4 linked regions of the Arabidopsis thaliana genome follow. The protein of the gene in region 2 interacts with the protein of the main gene of each other region in a pairwise test. Each region holds a gene or a part of one and is shown on either strand. Other genes may lie near its edges.

The links.
Region 1: the proteins of UPP (region 2) and TL29 interact in a two-hybrid assay, tested with the Arabidopsis thaliana proteins (one large-scale study listed by BioGRID).
Region 3: the proteins of UPP (region 2) and AHL20 interact in a two-hybrid assay, tested with the Arabidopsis thaliana proteins (one large-scale study listed by BioGRID).
Region 4: the proteins of UPP (region 2) and TY1 interact in a two-hybrid assay, tested with the Arabidopsis thaliana proteins (one large-scale study listed by BioGRID).

What each region holds. Positions count from the first base shown.
Region 1 is NC_003075.7:5,776,999-5,781,538, forward strand, and holds TL29 (ascorbate peroxidase 4), read right to left. Parts: upstream 2,575-4,540; 5' UTR 2,482-2,574; coding exon 2,245-2,481; exon of another isoform or gene 2,166-2,244; coding exon 2,064-2,165; exon of another isoform or gene 1,915-2,063; coding exon 1,827-1,914; intron 1,746-1,826; coding exon 1,645-1,745; intron 1,576-1,644; coding exon 1,535-1,575; intron 1,460-1,534; coding exon 1,329-1,459; intron 1,236-1,328; coding exon 1,129-1,235; intron 1,051-1,128; coding exon 913-1,050; intron 835-912; coding exon 700-834; intron 615-699; coding exon 504-614; downstream 1-503. Other genes in the region: GRF1 (general regulatory factor 1), read left to right, coding at 2-159; AT4G09012 (Mitochondrial ribosomal protein L27), read right to left, coding at 4,087-4,094.
Region 2 is NC_003074.8:19,956,030-19,961,019, forward strand, and holds UPP (uracil phosphoribosyltransferase), read right to left. Parts: upstream 3,047-4,990; 5' UTR 2,978-3,046; coding exon 2,840-2,977; intron 2,821-2,839; exon of another isoform or gene 2,728-2,820; coding exon 2,626-2,727; intron 2,539-2,625; coding exon 2,460-2,538; intron 2,230-2,459; coding exon 2,171-2,229; intron 2,081-2,170; coding exon 2,003-2,080; intron 1,913-2,002; coding exon 1,831-1,912; intron 1,724-1,830; coding exon 1,675-1,723; intron 1,599-1,674; coding exon 1,537-1,598; intron 1,374-1,536; coding exon 1,306-1,373; intron 1,234-1,305; coding exon 1,178-1,233; intron 1,084-1,177; coding exon 1,036-1,083; intron 955-1,035; coding exon 885-954; 3' UTR 561-884; downstream 1-560. Other genes in the region: AT3G53890 (Ribosomal protein S21e), read right to left, coding at 1-20; AT3G53910 (malate dehydrogenase-like protein), read right to left, coding at 3,827-3,871, 3,936-4,195, 4,396-4,417. UniProt on the Arabidopsis thaliana protein: Uracil phosphoribosyltransferase (UPRT) that catalyzes the conversion of uracil and 5-phospho-alpha-D-ribose 1-diphosphate (PRPP) to UMP and diphosphate.
Region 3 is NC_003075.7:8,318,840-8,322,867, forward strand, and holds AHL20 (AT-hook motif nuclear-localized protein 20), read left to right. Parts: upstream 1-1,698; 5' UTR 1,699-2,132; coding exon 2,133-2,978; 3' UTR 2,979-3,513; downstream 3,514-4,028. UniProt on the Arabidopsis thaliana protein: Transcription factor that specifically binds AT-rich DNA sequences related to the nuclear matrix attachment regions (MARs).
Region 4 is NC_003070.9:28,811,164-28,814,983, forward strand, and holds TY1 (thioredoxin Y1), read right to left. Parts: upstream 2,002-3,820; 5' UTR 1,786-2,001; coding exon 1,600-1,785; exon of another isoform or gene 1,325-1,599; coding exon 1,236-1,324; intron 1,045-1,235; coding exon 867-1,044; intron 776-866; coding exon 710-775; 3' UTR 522-709; downstream 1-521. Other genes in the region: EC1.1 (egg cell-secreted-like protein (DUF1278)), read left to right, coding at 1-420; AT1G76770 (HSP20-like chaperones superfamily protein), read left to right, coding at 2,406-2,553, 2,629-3,215. UniProt on the Arabidopsis thaliana protein: Thiol-disulfide oxidoreductase that poorly activates chloroplastic malate dehydrogenase (NADP-MDH) and fructose-1,6-bisphosphatase. Provides reducing equivalents for peroxiredoxin Q.

The sequences.
Region 1 (4,540 bases), on a different chromosome or scaffold from region 2:
GTTTACATTTTGATACATTCCTCAATCCTTCTTTCTTGTGGTCTGATTCTGATTATGATGATCTTGTCAAATGTTTTTTTCAATCAGGACGATGTTGCTGATGACATCAAAGAAGCAGCACCAGCAGCAGCAAAACCCGCTGACGAGCAACAATCCTAAGTCGTCTTACCGCAACTTTGTTGTCATTTCAGTATCTAAAACCTCTCCATTAATATGTTTTTCTCTTGGAGGTGTTTCTCTGTTGGTTTCTTATTTCCTTTTATCCCCAAGCTCTCTAAGGCAGTCTAATTCTTGTCCTTTTTTGCTGCTTTTCTCAACCGTGGATACGAAAACTCGATTCCTATTATTTTTCGTTTATCTGTTTCCATTTTATCGTGATTTGACTCCTATCTTCTGTGTCTTTGTTTGTAATGGATTCAACTTCTCTTTTTGTTTCAATGTCAAGAAAAATCTTTGGTTTATTTCGAAGTTTCCTCTCATGTTATACATATAGTGTACATAGCTTATAGCTTGAGTTTGCTCAGATTGATCCGTTCGACGGGATATGTATATGCCTCGAAGTTGATTTGCTGTCCTAAGCAACTTAGCTTTGTGAATGCAGTTATGAGATCAACCTACAAACATATTCATAAACCAAAACATGAGCTTGAGTTTGAGGTAGATGAATATATGATTAAGGCAAATCGAGTGAAAACGAACCTCGTAATCAGTCTGAGATACGGTTTCACGGCTTCTTTGATACTTCTGAACCCATGGAGCAACTTGAGGGTCAGTAGCTAAGAGCTGTTCTGTTGCAGCTTGATCAGGACCCAAGAATGCAGACATTACAGCTAGCTACAAATTCCTCATACAGGTTAGTTACTTCGAGTGATCCTAGTAGATAATTCTCTGTTTAAACCGAAAATCATGTACCTGACGAGGACCCAATCCAACAGCAATGAACTTATCTTTCATCTCTTGCACAGTTGCTTTCCCCCATTGTGGGACTCTGCCTTCTGGATCAGCCTCTGTTGCATCACTCCTTCCAAAATTTCTATCAAACAATCCCCACTAACAGATTCACAACGGTTCAGTATCGATTTGAACAAAACGCCGCGACTCAAAAGCGAATACGATAGCATTGTTTACCTGACCAGCTGAACCATATGCTGTGTAAAGTAAGTTCCCCTTCTCTTCATTTCCACCACATTTTCGGATAGCCGATGCTAAATATGTAAACTTGACCGCTGATTGTCCTACAGAAACCAACCCAAGAAAGATTTCAGTTATCCACAAATACAATAATGCTACTCTTCATGAACAAGTTTTGGTATATACTATAACATTACCTGCTAATTGAATGATATCTGCATATGAAATAGGACCTCCCTTCGAGATAGAGTCAATCTCCTTCTTCACTTCCTCTATCAAACTCAACCCATCAGAAAGTCCCTCATTCTCTGCTCTACTTAGCTCAGAGCTTCACAAAAAGAAAAGAATGCATTAGACATCATCTAAAGATTACTCTTATAATGTTCTTACATCATATAACTACCTGAACCGTATGGATCCATTGGCTCCCCCGGATTTAGTAGCCTAGACAAAAAGCTAGTATCATTAAAGGGTCACCAGAGAGATGGACAAGAGCATTATATGAAGCCTGACCTTATCATAAGTCATAGCATCATTGAGAGCTAGTTTGAGTAAGGAAGGTACAAGCTCCGGTTTAGCCTTAATGGTGGTTGAAAGCAAAATCTTGATCTTTGCTGCATAATATAAAAGTGAAACCTTTAGTGCCAATAACAACCTAATGGTACCACACTAGTGTTCTTGTTTCAGATACTCACATTGAAACTCGGATCGTTGTCTACGTTGATTCAAGTCAGCAGCTTTTGCATCACCCACATTGTTAATGAAACCGTTGCCTATTAATTCCTAACAAGAGAGATCATCACTGCCAAGAACTCATCAAATGTGACATAGAGAGGACAACTTCAAGAAGATGTAGCCACAGACTATACATTACAATATCTCATTTGTACCAATGTGTATGTAATTTTTGATCGAGTCAAGTGTTAAGGTACCATTCCGACTGCAGTGCCGGCGAGTTTGAGAACATCACGGCGGTGGAAAGCTAAACTTTCACCGGAAACTTGAGGTTCAATCTTGGAACATCGTATAACAGCCTGATCAGAAGAAGAATTGTTAGCAGAAGAAATGTAAAATGGGTTAGAAGTAAAGAATGTAACAATGGTTGAAACTCACAGAGCGATGAGAAGAAGAAGAGAGTGTAGTGAGATGTTGATGATTGGTTGTGTTGGTGAAGGAAGGAACAGTGGAGAGGAAGGACACTCCTCCCATTTCTGGTTTGTGATGAGACAGAGAAGAGAGAAGAAAGGAGAAAGAGTTGTCTGAAGAAAATGGAGAGTGTGTTTTGGTTTTGTGAAGGATACACTTTTGTGGATTCTCTGTTATCCAAATCTCCCAATCATATGGGTCCATTTGGTTTCATCATATAACTCCTTTTTTTTTTTTCAATAAGAGTTTTTTAAAAGGTCAAAGATTTTTTTTGTGGTTAAAAATCCCAAAAAAAACTCATACTAATTTTTATTTGCAAGTTTAATACCCAATATTTTTGAATTGGTATAAAAATAAATTATCTAATTATTTACTGTCATAAAATACCTCATATATTAATTATTGTTAGAATTAACCTACGGCTTAACGGACGTTAACGGAACTATTTAACGGGGTTAAATTTGAATCTCATACTTTTTAATCTATATATACAATTCGGTGTTACTAACTTATCGAATGCCACTAATCCCAGTAAAACACCCAATCCAACTTCAGAGATTCTCATTTTTTCCCTTGTCCTTCTCACTCTCAGCTCCTCCCTAGAGCTATGACGGCAGGCGGCATAGACGATGATTCTTGGTGGCTAGACAAAGCTGGGAACTAACGCGATCACATTATAAGGCACATGTTACTTGCGGGGAGTATCATCTACGTCGGCTAGAATTAGAGAAACGGGAGAAAAAAAACATGAATTTTGTGCGGGTTTCATTCTACCAATAATAAATATATGAGGTATTTTATGACCATAAATATTAGATGAAGTATTTTTGATTCCAATCCAAAAATATTGGGTATTAAACTTGCAAATAAAAATTAGTATGAGTATTTTTTGGGGTTTTTGAGGATTTTTATTCATTGTCCCGCTTTAATTTACCGTTTTACCTGTTGGTTACAATAGAAACGGTACACACATTCAGTAGCAGTTACCAAACAGGGAATTGAGAAGTGGAGAAATATTGAAATCTAAGATTCATTGGATTCAATTCAAAGTTTTTATTTTATTAACTCAATCTCGAAATAACTTGCTAGGAGTTGTTGAGTAACAAAAGATATCTAAGGATGATAGAATAACACAGTCCTTAACTTTAAGCTAATGAAGACTTCAAAGTTAAAAACATGTTTCTTCTAACTTCGTCACTTGGAAGCTTCAGTTGACTCGTTTGTTTTGTTGACGTCTAAAGGGCACTGAGATACATATGGTTTCAGCTATAAAATACAAATGTTCCATCAGCAAAGCTAGATCACACAACAAAGCTTGCGTTATACATTAAGCTAGCATTCTATTTCAGGTTCCTAACACAAAACTTAAGACCGGAAAAAAAATCGTCAGGATCACACATGCTTAAGGAGCTTTGAATAGTAAGACATGTAAACGGTTTAAAAAGGGAATTTGTTCTAATGTTCAATTAGGATGCAAGTTACATACTCGGCTATCTATATAGAGGAATCAAAGGAAAGGAACAGAAGAATTTAGGGTGGCATGCAAAACACAACAAGGTTAATGCAAGAAGTAAGCATTCCATTTCAGGTTCCTAACACAACCTAAAACGAATAAGATCATCAGGATCACAAACCTAAGGAGCTTCAAACCATTACAAGTTTACGACTTGTAAAAAGATATCCGAAGGAATTCACTATTGTTTTGTTCTCATGTTCAATATCGAGGAATCAAAGAAAAGTAACAGAAGAGTTTAGGGTAGAATAAAAACCTTAAAGCCAGTCAAATCAGGGACTACGTAGTTTGGCAATTTATCTGGCTGCACAACATATCCTCATGCAAACCATTGTCACAAATTTAGAGAAAAAGTAAAAGAAAGAACGGAAAAATGCAAATACTTTATGATATACATCTACAACAATGCTATGATGACCAATTTGCCAAAATTCAGTTCAAATTCTTAGCTTTCCTCTTAAAGAATCAGGTCTCTTAAAGTCATGTAAATTGCTTCCTTATTACATATATCTAACTTCCAAACAATTTGGCATTATCTAGTTACTAATTCCATCACTAAGAACAACATTCAATCATCAACCACTAAACAAGAGTTCATAAAAACAGCTTAAATCTCAACTGCAGCATGAGAAAGGCAACAAATTTTTCCAATGAAATGCGTCAAGCATTTCACGTTTTTACGATCACTTAGCCAAATTTGGAGTTCAAGTTCTTAGCTTTCCACCTAAAATATCAAACTTTGAAAATAGC
Region 2 (4,990 bases):
TGACCTGCGTCGTTCTCCATTTTTGAGATTTAGCTTCAAAAAAAAATCGATCTGAGCAAGTAAACAAACAAAAAAACTAATCAGATGAGCAATAGAACCTCGAATTAAGAGATTCATCAAGAATAATTGATCACATTCAACAATAATATATAATCAACAAAAGACACAACGAGATAACTAATTCTGAAATCGAAACCTAGATTATTCCGATGCGTTAATTAGCAATACAGTGAAAGGAGATTAAGATACTACGGAGAAATTCTCACCTGCGAGGAAGAAGAAGAATCTGAGAGAGGTTTGGCGGCGACAAAGATAGGGTTTGCTTAATTCATAGGTTTATTAGATTTATAGTAGCGAGCTAGGGTTTGCTTATTTCATAGGAATGACTACTATACCCTTCAACTTTTAATTGAAGAGCAATAAAAACCGATCCAATTAGAGCGGTATACAAAATTAAATCAAACCGAAATACTAAACTTTTTCAACCAGAATTGTACCGACAGTTAATTGTAACCGGAATCGAACGTAACCAAACCATAAATACTGGTTCAGTTTGGTAGTAACTTAAGTTCATTCAATTTGATAACAAACTTTTATTATTGGTTCAAATGTTTGCTTCATGGATGAATTTTTCAGATTTTCTTGCATACTTTTTCCCAAAATGGTTTGTGGTAGACAATTGAGAATGATACACATAAAATGGTTGACAAGTTTGTTCTCTGTTTTGTAATAATGAGGAATTCAGTTTTTCTTGTTTGTGAAATTTTGACTCTTTATCGAAACCCTCTCAAGAACCTGAAATCACACATCAAAAACAAAGTACAAGAGACACAATATATAATCTAACGATTGTGACTGTTAAAGTTTAACAACTCATACAAGTATCACTTCACCCAATGTGTTTCTGTCCCGAAACTGCGGTCTCCAGCGTCTCCAAGCCCAGGGATTATGTACCTAGTTCATGACAAATACATAAGGACATTAAAATACAATCGCCAGTTTTCATATGGAAAGCCAAAGAACCTAATGACTTACCCCTTTTCATTGACTTCAGGATCAATAATTCCAGCATATACATGAAGCCTGAAATGTTTCAAATAGTAGCCAAACAGTTTAGTAAAAAGAGAGTTAACTAAATGGTAAGCAAGGTGAGAGTTGATCTTTTGCTATTGATTACCCGGGGAATTTCTCGTTAAGCTTCGATAGTGCAGGAGGTGCAGCAATCGCACAAATCTGTAATCAGAAAAATCAAAACAATTAACACTTCGATTTCTGACAAAAGCTGTTTCCTATATATATGCTTACCACTTTGATTTGCTGAACAGACAAACCACGTTCCTTCAATAGATCCATCGCCGCCATTATGGTACCACCTAAAATACAAGTTACTAAGTTACTAAACCTACGCTTCTAGCTATGAAACATTCGTATTACCATGTCATGCGTTCACATTCACATATTATCGTGTACATTTGAACATCAAACCCTAACTATACTTCTAATATGGAGGTGGCTAAAATGATAAGACTTTCTTACCTGTGGCAAGCACTGGGTCGACCAAAAATACTCTTGAATTCTTGGGAAATTCATCAGGCAACCTAAAGAAGATGTATCAAAGGTGTTATTATAAACACTTCAGTAACTACAAACACAATGCTGCAGAGAAGTTCTTACTTGTTAAGATACACCGATGGTAAAAGTGTTTTCTCATCTCTACTTACTCCTGTAAAAGAAAAGAAGCACGGGGACATCAATAAGCTATTTGATAAAAGTTTTCATTTTTGACATCCGAAGTTCAGGCAAGAGATGATATATAGCTAGATTACTAACCTAAATGATAAATTTTATTAGCAGGTAAAACTGAGGATGCGTGTTCCGCAAGAGCAAGACCAGCTCTTAATATCGGAACAACCTACACAGAGACAAAACCAAGAATTAGAAACGCTTACATGTAAGGTCGAAAAGAAAATATAGACAGGAAGAGTTTGAGGGATAAACAAACCGCAATAGGCTCTCTAGGATCAATGAATTCAACAGAAGCAGGACCCATTGGAGACATTATTTCACCCACAACAGTTGGCTTAACCGCATAGAGCAAAAAACAAAAAACAATAAGCAAAAAACGGGTAGGAAGAATTCAAGAATAATAGAGATGTGAAATTCTACGCACCAGCCACTCTCGTGATGCTTCATACATGAGTAATCTCCCTAGTTCAGCTATTGCATTCCCTAGATAATTAAAAAAACTCAAGCTTTAAAGATCAACACAGACTTATACTAGTAGCAAACCTAAAAAAACTCATATTCAAACGCAATGTAGCAGATAACACCAATCTAAGAGCTAAAGATTGTCCAACGAATCAAAAAAAAAAAAAAAAAAAATGGATGTAAAATTCAGTTCTTTAACAACAAACACTGGTTAAATCGCAGAAATACTCATAAGAATCTTATCTACTCACTGAAAACAGGACAAGGAGTTTGTTCATTTCTCAGAACAGAGATCCAGTGTTTGATCAAAGGATGTGGTGGCACAAAGACCTGAAACACCAGAATCAAATTCACATCTTTCACTTTCAAATCAAACTCAAAAAAAATCTGAAAATTGAAATCCTAGAGTTTTATTACCAGCATCCTGTTGCTCCCGTTAATGGAAGCCTCCGACGCAGCCATTTTTGTTCTAGCTCGTATAGTCCGTCGGGAAAGTGACGAAGAAGAAGCACCCAAATTCTTTAAAATAATCCAGAAATTCGAAAATCAAAATTCAGTTTGAATATGCAAAAGGCGTTACTGGAAAAGTGTGCTTTGGACATTAGAATAAATATATATATATACTCGATACCTGTGCGAGAATTGGGGAGGAATTAAAGGAGAGGAAAGAGGAAGGATTAGGGTTTAGGCGGCTGCTGCATTGTTGTCGGGGAGCAAAACGCAGCGTATCAGAAGAACACCTGAAAGCGTTACCAATTGAGCACGCCATTTTCGACGAGATGTCCGAATCTGGTTCGAGATTTTTGCAATGACGATAGCGCGGGCGAAGATTAACCGGTCGTCACTACTGTACCGAATAACTTTGGGTCTACTTATTACACGGCCCATTGGGCTTTTATATTAATTTTTAGCAATTTCTTTCCAAACAGAAATCTACAAATTAAGGAATAAATTAATAAATAATTTATTAATTTACATAGAGAGTTTTCTAATGTAGTAACTTTTTAAAAGTTTCTACAAGATATTTTTCATCATAGAGAATATCTTTCTAAAACCAATTGCAAGTAAAAAATAATTATCATGTCTATAAAACAATATCAAAAGTTTTGATACAGTAAAATATTATAACTAAATTCAAATAAGAACAAATACGAGTTTAAGCAAAAAAATATTAGAAATTTCTTACATATAATATATTAGATATATATATATTTTATATTTATACAATTACTAATTTATAATATTGATGGGATCATATATTTACATAGGATTTTCAAAAAAATTATTATTTTATTAATTTATCAATTTGTGTCACTTTTTACAGTCCCAACTCGGGACTGGAAAAAATTATTAATCTTATATAGATTATTAATTTATCGAGTATTAATTTATAGAGGTTTTACTATTACAATAAACTTGAAAACTTATTTAGACTAGACTCCTTAACTCTTCTCCTCTTCAACTCATTCATCAGTTTTTGTAACAAATCTCTGAAACTGTACAAACCAGACACGGATTCTTTGTCTGAGAATTCAGGCACAATTAAGAAGTCCTAAGCCCTGTTTGAAGATTCTCAAAAGTCTTTAACCAAATACAGCAAAAAATGTTTAGAGAAAGATCAAACCACAATCAAAAGTTTGTAAACCGAAATAGCAACAAAAGTCTAGAGAAAGATGAAACAACACACATAGAACCATGTCTTGTGGATGTAAGAAAGATTCACTTACCCTCTGTAGCAAAGTGATGTCTTTCTCAATGGTAACTTTCACTCTCGGCTTGATAGCTTTAATCGCTCTCTCCTCGTATTTGGCGAGTCCCTGAAGATCTGAATCTATCACTTCCTCAATTCTCTTCTTCCCAATCTTTGTCCTCGTAGCAAAATAAGGGAGCTCGGTGACCGAAGAGGCCACAAAAGCAAAATCGAAGACGTCATCATCTCCGTCCAGAGCACGAATGAGTGACTTTAGAAACGATATCATAGCGTATGCTGAAGTGAAAGATCGGGAAGCCTAGATCGGAGATAACTCGAAATGTTAAGTCCCGCGAAAGAGGAAGAGAAAAAAAGAATTCACGGAAGAAAAAAAACTTAAAACGGAGGACAAAGACGAGAAGGAAGGTGATTATCATCCGATTCACTTCCAACCCGACGATTGAACACTCCAAGTTAAACGAGAAAGAAGGACTCACGGTCCGAGTTTCTAAGGAACATCCGAATTTCTTTCAACTCTCGGTCATACTTCGCAAAAGGTAATCGGATTTTATGACCCGCATGTGAGCTAAGCTTTAGCGGGTTAGACCGAGTTAAGAGACATAGAGAATCCGAGAGGAAGTACCCCGAGAAAAGAAGAACCAAGAAAAAACTTGATCCGAGAAAGGAGTTGTCGTTAGGTGGTTAGATATAATCTTTTTCAATTAGTAAAATTAAAAATTAAAATTTTTTTATATATATAATAGCAAAAAGTATGAATTGTTTATAATTGATAAAATATATAATACTAAATTACATAATAAATTTTATAATTGGTTCAATTGAAATTCAATATAATAATTGCACAAATGCAAGATAATTGATACAGCTATATTGTAAAAGTAATCGAAGGATGTGTAGATTATCCAAGTGGTTAGGATTTTATAACTTGTACAATATCTATTTTCACTGTAATATAACTATATAAGTTTACAACCCCGTACAAGACATTTTACACTCGAGGATCTCCAATGTTACTATTATAAACACACAAGATTACACAATCACACTGTGACAGAAGACATAAGAGTCATT
Region 3 (4,028 bases), on a different chromosome or scaffold from region 2:
GGGGGGATATTAAGGATATAGGACCGGTTAACTTCGGTTATCACTGGTTTGGTTGAATGTGGTTTACTAACCACAATAATCTTATGTCTATAAGTTTAATCTCGATTACTTTGTTAGTTAAGTTGGTTGTAACAACACTTTAAGCTGAATAAGAAAAGTTGTTATCTTCTTCTTCGTCTCTCTTCTCCAATCTTGAATCTCCGATGTATCGGACGTTATCAAGGAATACATTTGCACGAGATCCATGTTCAAACAAACATGAAATTTAGCGTATTAAAGGACCAAATGTTTTTCTTAAAAAAACATTTCTATGTAATTAGGATCCATATTTCAAATTTGAACAAAGACCATTGTGTCTTTTTGCTATTTTTGAGTCGGTCCTGCCTACATTGATTCAAAATCTCTTTTATGTTCGTATACTTCGTCAAAATCTCTGCATAGTCACATTCGTCTGCTGAAGAGTACCAACTCCCAAATATTTTCTTGTATGCTCTTCCATTAACATCTTTTCTAAGCTAATGAAAACTAGATATTTGCCTTAGGTCCAAAACTAAATCTATCTTCTTTCCTCATAGTTTTCTCAATTTCCGGCAACTCACATTATCTCAATTCTAACTAGAGTGTCAAAGAGTTTTTGAGATGAAATACCTCTAAAAGCCAGTTAGACAAAGATAAGTTACTAAACTTGTAGATTCAGCCTTGTAACTACTAGCTTAGAAAAACCTTATGGATTTAGAACATGGTTCAAGAATTTTCCATATGGTTTCAATTGTGGTTTACGGGATGATTAGTTGAGATTGTAGCGGTAAATTGTGGCTTAAAATATTGATGTTATATATATATTGTTTTTAACATAGGTTATGAGTTAAAATAATAATAATAACTAAAGCTACAGATTATTGACTCTTAAAAAAACGAAATAGAGGAATACATTATATAGATGGTCTAAGTTTGACTCGTTTTAACCGTTAGCTACTTAATTATTAGGTGAAAATTCAAAATATTCAAGTGTACAAAGTACTTGTTTTAGATTAGAAATTTTTTTTTTTTTTTTTTGTAAATTAGATTGGATACTTTGGATTAACTATTCTTTTTTTGGATTCTATATTCAAACGTATCAATATCAGTCATATCTTATTATAGAAATAGGGTAAAAGAGTTGTCGAGAGTGGAGACGTCGGGGCAAGGGAAAATGACGTGCTCCCCACCACCCCAATGCTCACGCGCACTATGCCCCACTTAACCCTAATTTCCAATGCTAATCTATCAATTACATTTCATTTATTTCTTCATTTATTTAAAGATAACTACACTTATTGTATGTATAAACTGCAAAACATATGATACTAATATTTACTACTCTAGTGAAAGAAGAAAATGATCTGGCTAGTTCCCCATGCCACAACATTCCAACACAATACATTTATCTCTTTTGGTCTTGGGGTTTTACAAATTGTATCAGAGTAAACAAGAATATGTTTTCTAAAATAGTTTTCCCCATAAACCGATCTTTCCTAAAATATTACACCATGTGAAACCCAAGACTTGTCTAGGCAACCTCAGTAATATGAGTGTATAATTAAAGTTCTGGCAGAAAATTATAAGATGAATTCATTAAATACGTTATGGAGCTTAGGACTTTGGCATAATCGGTATTCAATCCCACTGTTATTTAAAATAGACTCATATAAAAATTGTCCAGTATATTTTATATATTAATAAAAAGAGAGTACACACATAGTATTGCGTTCTTGGATTCTATATAAACCCTATATAAATAATACTAACTTGTGAAAAATTAATTATTGCCCACTTTCTCTCTCTCTCTCTCTCTGATTGATTCTTGAAAAGAAAATCAAAGTCTCAATAGCTTTGTTTTGATTCTAGTTCCATTCCACAATTGCATCTAATTCTCCTACCGTAGCCTTTTCTTCTTTATTTGTCATCAACAACTCCTAAAATTCATATGAAATTAGAGAAATCGAAACGAAAAGATAATATTTTTCAAGAAAGAGCTACATATACACCTTTTGACCTTGTAAAGTTGGAACCCTAGAGGCCTTTCAAGCAAATCATCAGGGTAACAATTTCTTGATCTTTCTTTTTAGCGAATTTCCAGTTTTTGGTCAATCATGGCAAACCCTTGGTGGACGAACCAGAGTGGTTTAGCGGGCATGGTGGACCATTCGGTCTCCTCAGGCCATCACCAAAACCATCACCACCAAAGTCTTCTTACCAAAGGAGATCTTGGAATAGCCATGAATCAGAGCCAAGACAACGACCAAGACGAAGAAGATGATCCTAGAGAAGGAGCCGTTGAGGTGGTCAACCGTAGACCAAGAGGTAGACCACCAGGATCCAAAAACAAACCCAAAGCTCCAATCTTTGTGACAAGAGACAGCCCCAACGCACTCCGTAGCCATGTCTTGGAGATCTCCGACGGCAGTGACGTCGCCGACACAATCGCTCACTTCTCAAGACGCAGGCAACGCGGCGTTTGCGTTCTCAGCGGGACAGGCTCAGTCGCTAACGTCACCCTCCGCCAAGCCGCCGCACCAGGAGGTGTGGTCTCTCTCCAAGGCAGGTTTGAAATCTTATCTTTAACCGGTGCTTTCCTCCCTGGACCTTCCCCACCCGGGTCAACCGGTTTAACGGTTTACTTAGCCGGGGTCCAGGGTCAGGTCGTTGGAGGTAGCGTTGTAGGCCCACTCTTAGCCATAGGGTCGGTCATGGTGATTGCTGCTACTTTCTCTAACGCTACTTATGAGAGATTGCCCATGGAAGAAGAGGAAGACGGTGGCGGCTCAAGACAGATTCACGGAGGCGGTGACTCACCGCCCAGAATCGGTAGTAACCTGCCTGATCTATCAGGGATGGCCGGGCCAGGCTACAATATGCCGCCGCATCTGATTCCAAATGGGGCTGGTCAGCTAGGGCACGAACCATATACATGGGTCCACGCAAGACCACCTTACTGACTCAGTGAGCCATTTCTATATATAATGGTCTATATAAATAAATATATAGATGAATATAAGCAAGCAATTTGAGGTAGTCTATTACAAAGCTTTTGCTCTGGTTGGAAAAATAAATAAGTATCAAAGCTTTGTTTGTTCTTAATGGAAATATAGAGCTTGGGAAGGTAGAAAGAGACGACATTAAGGGACTTTCAGATTTTCAGTATTACTACTCCACGAAATTATTGAAATAAATAAACATTGTACTGTAAATTAGAATGTTTGTCTTTTTGTTTTTGTGTAGTAGTATTTAACTACAATATTTGTATGTGTTTGCCTTTGTGATCTTTAGATACTTTACATTTTGGTTGGCTCAAAAACCATGGGTTTATTATATATATTTAATGCTGGTTCAACGATGAAGGAACGTTGAGAGCATATATTGCCTATTTGTGCGTTTCGATATTATATTTCTAATTCATGATCATTTTTATTTAAGGTTTTTACCATAGGTCCATAGTGGTGGTTCTTTAATCTTCGCGTCATGATGCTATTGGAATTTTTTAATATGACTATGTAAACAAAAGAATGAGAGATTGTTGACTAGCTAAAAGCATATACGTACTCTCTATGTGTATTAATTGATGTTATTTAATGGTACATGACACGAAAGAAGCTTTAAAACAAAATTATGACTGAACAAAAAAAACGGTTGATGTTGTTGGCGAGAACGACTTAAGGAAGTTTACAAACCTATACTATGAAGTTTTAAGTCGTTGTAAGTCTTAACTAAAAAATACTATTACCAAACGATCATTTATTGATGTTAATGCACTTTTGTAATTTTTAGTGTTTTTTTTTTCCAAATAGAACTTGATATATTCCCTCTAATTTGATATATAAGATTTATGAGTTAAGAGCATGCATATTCAGAAAAATATATTTTAAAAATATCATTAAATATTTGGTTTACAAAAATTAGGCAAAATCATAGAAGATAGTTTCTAAATGACAATTCACAAGGAAAAATCAAGAAATAAATCATAATTCAATACCTTTTTTTTTACCTCA
Region 4 (3,820 bases), on a different chromosome or scaffold from region 2:
GTGGCTTCCTCCACAGTGACAGCTCGCCCTCTCATGAAACCATCCATGGGGACGTCTTCTCCTACCACAAGCCTTGTGTACAGGCTCAAGCTTGATGAAGATACAGGGTACTGCTGGGACTCACTGATGCAGCTCCAACACTGTTCTGGAGAGCTGATCTTGTTCTTCCTCAACGGTGAGACTTACATTGGCCCTGGGTGTTGCAGTGCTATAAGAACCATTGGACGCAAGTGTTGGCCTACTATGATTGGTGTTCTTGGTTTTACTGCTCAAGAAGGTGATATGCTCCAAGGTTACTGTGATGGCAATGACTCTGACAACAATGGTGAAGACCATGCTCTTGCCTCCTCAACACTGCCTCTCTCCGTGAATTTCAAGACTACCGTTGTTAGATCTTCTGCTTCTCCTTCTAACCCTTGAGTCTTAGTATTCATCTTTACACTCCTGCTATGTTTTCTTTTGCTAAGAGAATTTTAATCTTTATGTAACTGGTGACGAATGCTTGAAAAATAGCGTCTCTGTTATTACTTTTGAGAATAAAAGATCATCATTACTCACAACAAGGTTTTACAAATCTGGCAAACATAATCTTCTTCTTCTCAAATTCTCCAAGTTAAATCAACCGAAAAACATCGCTATCACTAAGTCCTGAATAGGTCAGGGACAGTTGAAAAACATACAAATAATTAAAAAAGAGTTCATGATCCAACTATGGCTTCACTTTTAGAGAATCCTCAATTCGTTGAATGAGTTGTTTGGCCGTCAAAGCACCCTCCTGGAAATCACAAAAAAAGAAACGTTTGTGAGTGAGATTAAGAACCTTAAAACGAAAATGAAGAAATTCAAAGGCATTGAAGTCATCATACAAAGCGATCACAAGGTTCCCCATCTTTGAATAGGATGAAAGTAGGAAGTGCCTCAATCTTGTATTTATTAGCAATACTGGGGTATTTTTCGGTATCAATCTTCACCACCTGTATCTTGTCTTTCAGGGTTTCACTCACTTCATTGAGTATTGGAACCATGAACTGGCAAGGACCACACCTGCCAAACAAACAGTACATTCTGATTCCAAATCATCTGTTTAACAAATAAACTCGATAATAAGCAAACAGACTACACTGGATCCCAACATAGACCAAGTATACTCATTCATGATGAATAATAGTCAACTAGAACTGGTTGATGACCACTCAACTAACACATGTTATCATTTGACACCAAAACAAACTCACCAGGTTGCATAATAGTCAACTAGAACTGGTTTATCAGAGTTCACAAGCAGATCCTCAAATGAGTCAAATGTCTGCTTCTTGGCTTCAATCTGAAGTATGAACAAGAATGGTTTGTCATTTAGTTCAATCTAAATCAAGAAGTAGATAAAGGCACTCACTTTAAATCAATTCCAAACTCTAGAGAAAATCAGCTATAGAAACTAAAATAAGAAAAATTTCAAAATAGGAAAGCTATCATCAGCTCTACCATCAGAAGAAAGTTTGAAGCTTGAATTCAATAATTCATAGGGTAAAATTAAGTAAGCTAGAATTGAACAAAATATAAGCTTTGGAAAAAGATGTTTAAGCAGAGAAAGGCGATTACACGTCGAGGAGTGCATCGAGTCGTTGAAGATAAAGATGGAAACTTTAAGTCTCCGGTTCGAACCCGACGAACCGGAAACTGAAATTTGACGGCCGAGATAGAACGAGAAGCGAAAGCAGAAACACCTGACGATTCTTTCGAATTCAGCGACGGAACCGTAGAAGAAGAGAGAGAAATTGACGCCATGAAAGAATCAGAAAAAAACAAACGATCTCTTGATTCGGCGTTGGCGGTTGGTTAGGTTGATGATGACAAAAAAAGTTGGACACTTGTGGAAAAAAAACTCGAATTGACCAAAAAGAGAGAACGAACTCTGAAAGAAAATGACACAAGGTACTAGAAAGACAATGATGATCCACTACGGTCAAGTACACCGTATCTTTTTTGTTATAGGCCCACAAACATGTTCTAGGCCCACATGTTATAGGCCCGTTCCCAAACACCGATCACTCTTCAATTTAACTTTTTGCTCACAATCTTCAGGCTCAATCATATGACATGACAGATCTCATTGTAAATGCAATCGCAAAGGGTTATCATTATCAACTAGTACTATAAAGATAGCTGTTACTTCCCGCCAACGCAACTGGGACAGTTAAAACCGTTGAGGGTAACAAAAGACAAAACTCACGACTCCGTTTTTGAGTTTCCTGAAGATGGAAGTTACGAATATGTTCTTGTGGGCCTCTTCAAAGAAACGATATGAAATAGCCTAATTTAAACAAAACTAGAAAAGTGTGGACTAGAGAGAGACTTTAGCAAAAACTAAAAACAGATGTATCAAAAGAAGCTCACAACTAAAAAAGATGGAGCTTGAATTAGGTCTGAAGATCACTCGGACTAAAGACGATGTTTCTTCCTCTACAGATTTTCGGGTTGCCAGAGATTCTTTTGGTCATCGTTCACTTTCTCGAGAAACCAACTCTGTTTTCTTCCTCATTCTTCATCTCAAAGGTTCTATTCCCTCTCATATTTATTCACCTTTTTTTCTTACCTAGCATAGAGATTGAGATTGAAAACCAAATGCAGGATTTAAGAAGGATGGTATCGATATCGAGATAAACAAAGAAGGGAATCTGATTAAGATCAGCGGAAGAAAACAGGTTGAAGAGATGGTTTTGGTAAAGTGGGTGGAATGGAAAAAGGAAACAGAAATAAAGGAATTCAAAAAAGTGTTTCGGATTCCAGATATTGTAATTCTTGACAAGATCAAAGCGAGGTTTAATGAAGAAGATGGGACTTTAACTGTTACAATGCCTAAGAAAGTTAAGGGAATTACCGGTCTGAAGATCGAGGAAGAGGACGAAGAAGAGGAGATGAAAGAGCCGATAGTAGAAGAGAAAACAGAGGAGAAAACAGAACCAGAAGAAGAAATCAAAGAAGAGACAAAACCTGAGGAAGAAAACGAAGAAGCAGAAGAGCCACAGAGAGAAGAGGAAGAAGAGGTTGTTGAGGAAGGAACAAGAGATCATGAGGGGAAAAAAGAAGAAGAAATCGAAGATAAACCAAGAAAGAAGAGAAGAAAAAAGTTTCGTTTACCATGTTTTGCAGGATCCACTCTGCTTATGTCTATTATTGTTTTCATTATTCAACTGATTCAATCCAGAAATAAATGAAACCACACTCCTTAGGTTTTTAAGATAGGGTTCTTGTTGGTTTTTAAGGATAGAACCCACTTTCTTATTATCTGTTCTTCTTAGCCTTGTTCTTTAAAACAATAAAAGTCAACGTGTAATACAATCAAAATACAATCAGTATCTAAACCAAAAATTAGTAGGAGCGTATCAGCTAATAAATGGAAAGTATTTGACCCGAACCGTGTATAACGGCTAGATTATCACCGAACCTAAGGTTTGTGTTTGCTCTGGACTATAACAAACCCTAAGTGAAAAGGAAAAAAGGAAACTTGAATGTCAAACAAATAAATTTATATACCTGCGTCTCGCGTCTCCTCTCAAGTTAAAAACACAATTGCTCTGCATTTTTTTCAATTCTCTTCTTCGATTTCTGTCTGCTTCGTTTGCCTCTCTGTTCTCTTCTTCTTCCTTTTTGAGATTTCATTATTCATGTGTTGTTGCATCTGCTTGTTGGATTCACCCTAATCTTTGGTGTGATTCGTTGGTCTGGCCTAAGAACGACTCATATATACAACGGCTCTCTCTGTTCACTTAAAAAGCAACGAAGAAGACGAGAGAGATCACACACACAAGCCTCACGTCTT